Styela clava: one gene and its partner. The protein of the gene in region 2 interacts with the protein of the main gene of each other region in a pairwise test. Links are inferred from orthologs where the notes say so. Each region holds a gene or a part of one and is shown on either strand. Other genes may lie near its edges.

Evidence for each region.
Region 1: the proteins of protein patched homolog 1-like (region 2) and E3 ubiquitin-protein ligase NEDD4-like interact in a two-hybrid assay, tested with the Drosophila melanogaster proteins (2 studies listed by BioGRID). The link is inferred for Styela clava from reciprocal best matches to the Drosophila melanogaster genes ptc and Nedd4.

Annotation. Positions count from the first base shown.
Region 1 is NC_135257.1:7,635,177-7,639,471, reverse strand, and holds the start of E3 ubiquitin-protein ligase NEDD4-like, read left to right. Parts: upstream 1-1,314; 5' UTR 1,315-1,411; coding exon 1,412-1,456; intron 1,457-2,000; coding exon 2,001-2,077; intron 2,078-2,393; coding exon 2,394-2,493; intron 2,494-3,214; coding exon 3,215-3,253; intron 3,254-4,101; coding exon 4,102-4,155; intron 4,156-4,295. Other genes in the region: kelch-like protein 7, read left to right, coding at 1-591. UniProt on the Drosophila melanogaster protein: Essential E3 ubiquitin-protein ligase which accepts ubiquitin from an E2 ubiquitin-conjugating enzyme in the form of a thioester and then directly transfers the ubiquitin to targeted substrates.
Region 2 is NC_135260.1:6,280,936-6,285,230, reverse strand, and holds the start of protein patched homolog 1-like, read right to left. Parts: upstream 2,609-4,295; 5' UTR 2,501-2,608; coding exon 1,736-2,500; intron 1-1,735. UniProt on the Drosophila melanogaster protein: Segmentation polarity protein. Acts as a receptor for the hedgehog protein (hh). Associates with the smoothened protein (SMO) to transduce the hedgehog signal leading to the activation of wingless, decapentaplegic and patched itself.

The DNA of each region.
Region 1 (4,295 bases), on a different chromosome or scaffold from region 2:
CCTGCTATTGCACATGATGGTGCAATTTATGTTATAGGATTGGGAAATGAATCACCAGGGAAAACTACAGCATCAGGTGAGAAGTACTCTGTCCCAGAGGATCGTTGGACACCTCTACCTGATATGTCTGAAGAAAAAGACATGAATGCCTTGGCTGCTGTTGGTCATAGCATATACAGCTGTGGTGGTCTGTTAAGAAAAACACCTTTAAACACTGTTGAGAAATTGAATCTGAAGACAATGCATTGGCAAGGAGTTGCATCAATGAAGACTCCTAGATATGGTGCTGCTGCGGTGACTTATAATGACAAGATTTATGTTATTGGAGGTGAAAATACAACTGTTCTATCATATGCTGAATTCTATGATACCATCACTGGTGTATGGACCGACATCTTGCAAATGACAATGCCTAGAAACTATTGTCATGGATTCGTACACGACAACAAAATATATGCTGTTTCTGGAATATGGGGGACCAATTTTTTTGGAGAACCAGTGGAAGCTTATGACATAGAGAAAAATACTTGGGAAAGACAAACACGTTTCCTGGCACCAGTGAGAGAGATAACTTGGGTTCTTTCAATGTGATCGACATATTCTGTTATAGCTGCTGTGAAAGAATATTGAATATACTATTCAATTTTAAATCACGGAGGAAGTTACTACAATATTGTTTCTAAATTATGAGTATTCAAACTTCGATTCATGACATGTTTAAAAAAGCTTTGTAAATATGTTAGCTATACATAATTTAGAATTGTATATTTCAAATCAAATAATTTAGTGGGATTTATGTTTGCCATATGTTTACACAACGTACCGTAGTTCCTCGTTTTGTTGAAGTTTAGTCACTGCCAATTACAAACACCGCTTTTTTGTTTTGTCTCACATTTTGTTCCTTTTCAATCATCCGTTTGCTCCAGGCTGCTTGTCATTAATACATAAGTTGTATTCTGTTTTGAATGTCTTTCAAGTTGACCTAATTTGCATTGATGAAAAATATTTTGACCAAAGAGCGAGGGACATATTCCGCTCAGTGATTTATACACCATTTGCCTTTATTTGTTATAAAAAAATCAAATTGGGATATTTACATTGCAATAATGATTGATATTATCTATAAAAGTGCTGTATAAAAAAGTTTTCTGTCTGGCATGTATGCCAGATTCAGGATTTCAATAAATTATTCAGAACTTAAAATGTCTCTTGGGCCTATGCTGCTTTTTTGTTTTGTTATGATGCATGACATAGTTAAGTGTAAAATCCTGTAATTTTTTGTGTAGATACAGCTAACTTATAGTTATATAAATATTACTGTCTGCTGGTACATAAACTCAAGATTTTGTAGGATTAATAGTTAGGACACTGTACTGATTGAGCTTGCATAAGTCATCTTCATTTTCTTCGTATGGCCTCATCTGATTCAGTAATATATGGACATAAAAATCACCAGGTATTCTTATATTTTCTGATTTTTTTTATAAACATATAAATAAACAATAATTGTTTATCAATTGAAATATTGGAAATTCAATATTCTCACACTAATGTTTTTTAAAACAAACATACCATAATAGAAGATTGATATTATTATGAAATCATGATTTTATAAAAATTTTCATTCACCATGATGAGATATACCATCAATAATTGACTCTGTTCAATGTGCACAAAGTACTATTTTTTGGATATATCCCAATTACAAATCAATTTTATTATAGCCATATAGTTTAACATTATATCTAGTAGAATTTTCCTTTTTTTGCAAAATGAAACCAGTGGCACAGTTAGTAATGACATCTTTTCTATTTTGTTCTCGAAAGTGCACCAAAATCAAACCACTCCTTTCTCCTGTCATATAATTTATCTTATATACAGAAAGTGGTTTTGGTTTTCTTCATTAAATGAATTTGTTGAAGCAATCTTCGCTGTATTGTGTGTGTATATGGCTGTGCTGAGAAAATAGCAACTCATAACATGTTTCGATTTATTTTCAGTTGAATGTCCACAGACTGGTGAGAGTAAAAGTCTTATCTGGTCATAATCTTGCTAAGAAGGATATATTTGGTGCCAGGTACTAATTTCTCCTATTATGCATATCTGTTTCTTCATTATGTCTACTGCAAATTACTATTTTTTATTATTATGGTAGAGATTTTGACATATTTTAAGGATCTGAGCTTTGTTCTAAGAAAGGTGTCAAGTACTTTTTGCTTAAAATCTTGTGTGTAATAAATGGCTCTTGAGATGAGCGTTCTGCTAATCAGACAAGAGTAGATCGTTAGTGAGTGATTGAAGTAGATTGGCCAAAGAGGGTTTAAGAAATATACATTATTACATTAGTCATACAAATATTATGCGAAATCAATCATTGATTTTAATAATTTTAGTGATCCATACGTGAAGGTATCTCTCTATCGACCAAAGCGAATATCACTCGGGCAATCCTATGAAAGCTATGGAACTGCAACAACCAAAACAAAGAAAAAAGTACGAAATTTCCTCTGATTTATATGATTCCTAGTATTTGATAGATGTTTCCACATCACTTTACAATAGTCATAACGCAATGTTTAACTGGGGTCAGTAAAGTCATGAAATATGAATTCATTTTAGGTTTCTTTCCCCGCAGATCAGGATCAATGACTGTTTACATAAAACTATGTAGACTATGTATATTATGTTTTAAAATGTCATTTACTTTAACATTACTACTGGTTTAAAATCTTGTTTATCATGGATTAGAGTTAGCTGTTTTCTGAATTTTGATTTTCTGAATTTTGCGTAAGAATTACTATTATGGAATATGAAATAACATTCAAACTAGTCAAATATTTTAATATTGGCGAAAGAAAGATCTACGGTAACAATTGTAATTTTGATAATACCCAGTTTCATAATATGATTCAATGTGTTTTTCAACTAAAATTAGGATTGTAACGGTGAAATTGCTTGGATTTAAAAGTCGACAAAACAAACTTTTCTAATAGGCACTCATCACTTCCTTACTTAATCTTGAGATTTGATTCACTTTCACGTTATTCTATTTACCGGTACACACTTTAATGTTCAATATAATTCGGTTTTCTGAATAAAAATAATAGATCACAGCCAATTATGCTACTTCAATTTCCCTCTATTATGTATGTCTCAGAATAATATTATGTAGCAAAGTTGATAACCATTTCATTTTATTTTCCGATATTTTTAGACCTTGAATCCAAAATGGGAGGAAGAATTTACTTTTAGAGTAAGTATTATATGGGATGCTCCGATAGCATTCAAGTGATGTATTGATTGTTTGAGATTCTGACTGATTTTGGACAATAATTTCATTTTTAAATGGTAAAACTAAATTATGTGTCCTGTTAATCCACTCTGAGAAGTTTAACTAATAACTTGATTTATTGTTGTGATCATTGCAATTACAACAAACCATCAAAATTTGTTTGAACAGAAGCAAGGTTTTAAGAATCAATTGAAATTAGGCAAATCTTGCTCACATCATGTGATTTTGGTATATTAGAATTGGAACGGTATGTCTTAGAACCTGCTGCCTGAATCTAAGCCATGCCCACTTCTTATAATTCAAATGCTGATAATAAGACTATAAACAAAAATGGAAGTGAGGTAATGATGTCAAAGAATCAGAAACAGAATATTTTTGTGGACCAGTTTCGCACTCTACTTGATATTTTATATCACACATAAGTATATGTAATCCTAATATTGAACTCCTGTAAATTATTGAAAAGCACACATATATACATATTAGCCCACAATCACATGTATTTCTCGTCCTTCATGATATATATCGGTAATGTAACAAAAGCGGAATTATGGCCAGAATTTCATTGGCCTTTTTTTGTAGTTCCGAAAAATTTGAGAGTCTTCTAGAATAAAACTTGTCTAGTGGAACAATAATAACTTATGTAACATACGGTAATAATAATATAGGTTGTGATAAATTCAGTTTAAAATGTAATAGCCAGACTTGTTGAGTATCATTGGCCTGTATGTAGTTTGCCTCTGTTATTCCAATTTCTCTTGTTCTCATATGCTCCCGTCAAATTTTAATTGTTTCTTCCACTTTATCAGGTGGTACCAAAGGAAAACAGACTACTGTTTGAAGTTTTTGATGAAAACAGAGTGGTGAGTTGTATTTCGAATTGACTAAATATTTTGCTATTTGGTGTTTTTTTAGTTTGCGAAAATGATCTCAAATACCAGGAGAGCTTATTTTGAAGTTGTAGGCTACTTTGGTTTCGAGAATGCTATAAATTTTCAAATTT
Region 2 (4,295 bases):
GTTCAAGGTGGTATGTCTGGTTGGATTTTGGTTGTGGTGTTGTGAGTATTAATTTTGAAATGGAAAAACAAGCTGAGATGTTAATCTACCTAAACCATTATGCCCATGGTAAAGATGGCCACACGTTGAATATAAATATCACTATTTAATTCGATTCTTTCTTTCAACTTCTAGATCAGTGATTTTCAACCCTACAGAAGTGAAAAACACTCAATATACAGGGTGGGCAAAACGTAGAGTGACATCTATTCTTAATCAATTAAATTATTAACTGTTAACCAACATGTAGCCCGCTCTTTATATACATATATAACTAAATTATGACCGTGTATTTAGTTATATTTAAACAACATACATATATATAAATATACAGACTCTGGGATTTAAACGTTAACTTGCGGAACCCTAGGATGCCGCGGGTCCCCGGTTAAAAACCATCGTTTCAGACCTATATAAGTAAAGAAGCGAGTCAACTTACAGCTCAAATAACGGTTATTCACATATTGATCATAAACTAAGTCAAAAATAAAGTTTAGGAATCGCTGTGGAGATACACGTAATCGATTGTGAAAAACACAACGAGTCTATAAATGATAACTTGTTTTAGAATACAAGTTAGGAATCCAGCATTGTTTTAACATCTACGAAAACGTGGGAATAGTTCAGATTCTTGTGATGTAATTATTTATCTACTCGGAAAGATGATTTTTGCATAGGAGGTAGAAATCAGAGCTTTGTAATGTGAAGGCAGACTACGTCATCAACATTAACGATACCAACTAGAGAAGAAAACAAAACACAAAAAGTGATGACGCGAAGCTAAAATTAAACAGTGTATTAAATTTGTCAAAGCTGCTAAATCGTTCAATGGCAGGTGTTTTACACCACACTTTATACGACGTACACGATCTCGTGACATTGTTTGTCAGGTGCCATGAGAAATCGGTCATGCCACGGTTGAACGAGATGTCACATAGATTGAATGACATATATGGTTTTACAAATCCAACCTTTTGAATGTTTTTTGACATTTTTATTTAGACTGTATCATGCAACCGTTTGCAGAATGTTATTTCAAGCTGCGATAGATTCCTCGCAGTTTTGGTCGATATCAGATTACAAAAATAGGCGGCGTAAGAATGTCAGTATATATATATATATATAACTACTACAAAACGAAAATAACGGTCCGTAATTGTAAGATGTTGCTAACTAGATTTTCAATTAAAATTACTCCAGTTTTTGCTTTCTGTCATCGTCGGACACAGAAGCGTGCTTGATTAATATTATAACTGAAATAATGAATCGAAAGGCATCGAAATCGACTTTGAAGTTTAGTTAGAGAGAGATCTACCATGCTATATAGCTTTGGATCGACCTTAACTACGCTGCATTTCCCATGCCTGAAATGGATATCAGCTATTTCCATTCCCAGACTGCGTAGGTGACAAACACTGATGTGCGCACCACCATCGCTCTGAACTAACATGAAATATTTAATTTCAAATTAAACTTTTATCGATGACTTATCCCCCCATAAATCCTCGATAAAACGGCAGTGTGCGTTATTTGAACAGAAAAGGGCGCTCCCGAAGTATGTGAACCATGATGGCGCACAACCTGAACCCTAACCTGGTACAACTACTATGTTCAGGTTGTGTGTCATCTTGGTGCACATACTTCAGGAAGTCCCAAAACAGACAAATATTCCCAATAAACATAAAGTATGACTTACTTGAACAACTTGCTCGTATGCAAATTTCGCATCGCACCAACTGGGTCTTGATAAAAGTTCCAGATCGTTAGTGAGACGAGTTCGATTCCGATGTGAAATTACGTTCCCATTGCTCGTTGGTGATATTTCTTGTCCATTACAAGAAGGATTTCTACAGTTTTGCAAAGAATGTTGACTGCACCTCGTACCCGATGAATGACCATCGGATTCGTTGGGTATTGTACCCTGAGGAGGCATGTTAGTCCGTTTTCCACGATGCCTCAAAATTTTACTCGAGTGACTTGATAAATAGGTTCGATTCGATTCGTTTTGCGTTCGATTCAAATGAAATGAAGAATCTTCTAATATTACTCCGGGACCAATAGCGTCAGCTCTTAGACGTGCGGAGTTTTTGTTGTTGTTATTTCCGCAAAAAGTTCGACTGCAACGCGCTCCTACGGTTTGACTGTCAAAATGCACGCTACTATTCGCACCACAGTTTGCATTATTATGCGTGTTACTATCACACGCATTATTCGTGTCTAAGTTTCGTGATCTATATGACAAAATTTCACTTTGTCGATTCGAGGAAAAATCATTCGAATTTTGTATTGATCCTCTCGTCCGATGGTGGCGTGAGTCTTCATTTGAATTTGCTGTAGCAATTTGACCTCTTTGACCCCGTGAAACAACGCTAAATGCACTATTGGACTGTGGGTCATCGACAGCGAACGGATGATGGGCGTTTCTTTCGCCATGATTGCATGAATCTGATCCATCTAACATTGTGGGTTCTTCATTTGCATAAATCCACTGTTATTGATGTTTGAAATATTCCCAGTAGCATTGTAAAGTTTATTCGCATATTCGAATCATGCTTAAGTTTAATCATCTGCTAGGATATAAAGTAATCAATCACTGGTTTTAGATATGACAGTCTGCTTTTGTTTTTTTTTACATAAGAGGTTAAACGCTAAAGTTGGATTAACCTACCTATCTTCATTGCAAAGAAAGAAATTTTTGGTGTTGTTAAACGTTGTTTGAAGACCTATTTTTCAAGGAATATCGTGTTTGAATCGTTGGATATTTATTGCAGAATTCATAATATCCAAATAGGAAAGCGTCAAGAATTACTTACCGAACGTGGATCGTGTGTGTGACCTGCAACACTGCGTAATTGAAATAAATGTACGCCCAACATATATTTGAGAGGTTCTAGTAAAATACTTGTTTTGCGGTGCTCTTGAGGTGATTTTTCATGCGGCAAAATTTCCTGCAGCGAGATTTCTTAGGACGAAATCTCCTGCGCGAATTTTCCGAACACGTATTTGAAATACGGAAAAGAGAATATGGAGACAATATTTGGTATAGATGAGAGTTTGGCATCAACTGCGCATTCCCAAAGCTTGGTGACATTCTGCTGTTTAGCCGCTGTAACGAAAACTACGTAGCCTACACTTCGCGTAAACGTTCATTATCAGTATCACCCAACACGCTGTTCTCAAAACCAAATACGTTGATTTCCTTTGTTATCATAAAATATGCCAATCAAAAAATTTGCGTACAGCAATTCGACGCGTAAAACACCAGAAGGTCGTTCACGGAACACCAACGTTCCGAAGAACATCGGTTGAAAAACACTAGATTAGAGGAAAGAAAGTGAATTATGGACTTATAGAGCCGTAGATTGTTCTGCCCAAGATTTTGTATAATTTTAACATTAATTTAGACACTAACCTTTGATATTTGTATTTCAACTTTAAAAATTTATTGATGTCTCGATCACTTTTCAAAAACGCAATAAATGATAACGTGAACCAGTAACGTTCTCCTGTCGTAATATTTACAGAGTATAATTTCATAGATACTCCCGTAGTATGTGTACCAGGTTAGAGTTGGACCCTAATTTTATTCAGATTTTCCTTGTATTAGTTCCATTACGAATTCTGGGACTGCCTGTGTCAGCCAAGTGAATATGCTCTCACCAATAGGTTTCAGTCCCTACACAACTTGATGTGAAACGGGAAAACAAAATCAGTTACTTCCATATTAGTACACATACTTCTGTAGCGACCTTTTCAAAAACATTTTTCATAGAAAATTTGTTCGTGATAGTTTTACCACATAAACCACTGCATCCATCGTCGATACCTTTGTTATTTAACGCATGAAAGATGTTTTGAAAATTGTTTGTTGTTACAGGGATGAGGCAAATGGGGCGTTGCTCAGAAGAAAAGAGTAAAAAACAAATCAATTTGTTTTATTATACGTTATAATTTCCCCCTATTCGATAGTAAGGTTGAACATAGAGAACTATTTATCATCATCCGTTATCCCAACTCTATAACGAAATACACACCCAATAGATCTTTTGTAAATAAAATTTGATCAATTGTGTAGCAAAATCGAGACTTTCTCCAATTTAAAATATCTATTATGATATTGAATAAGAAAGAATGTAAGCATGATAAAATAGTAATAGTTGTAAGCATGTATTAGAAAATAAGCTATTTATGTATATTTTAAAAGGGTTCAATAACTCAATAACTAGCTTTGGTTCCCTAAAACTCCCTTTACCATT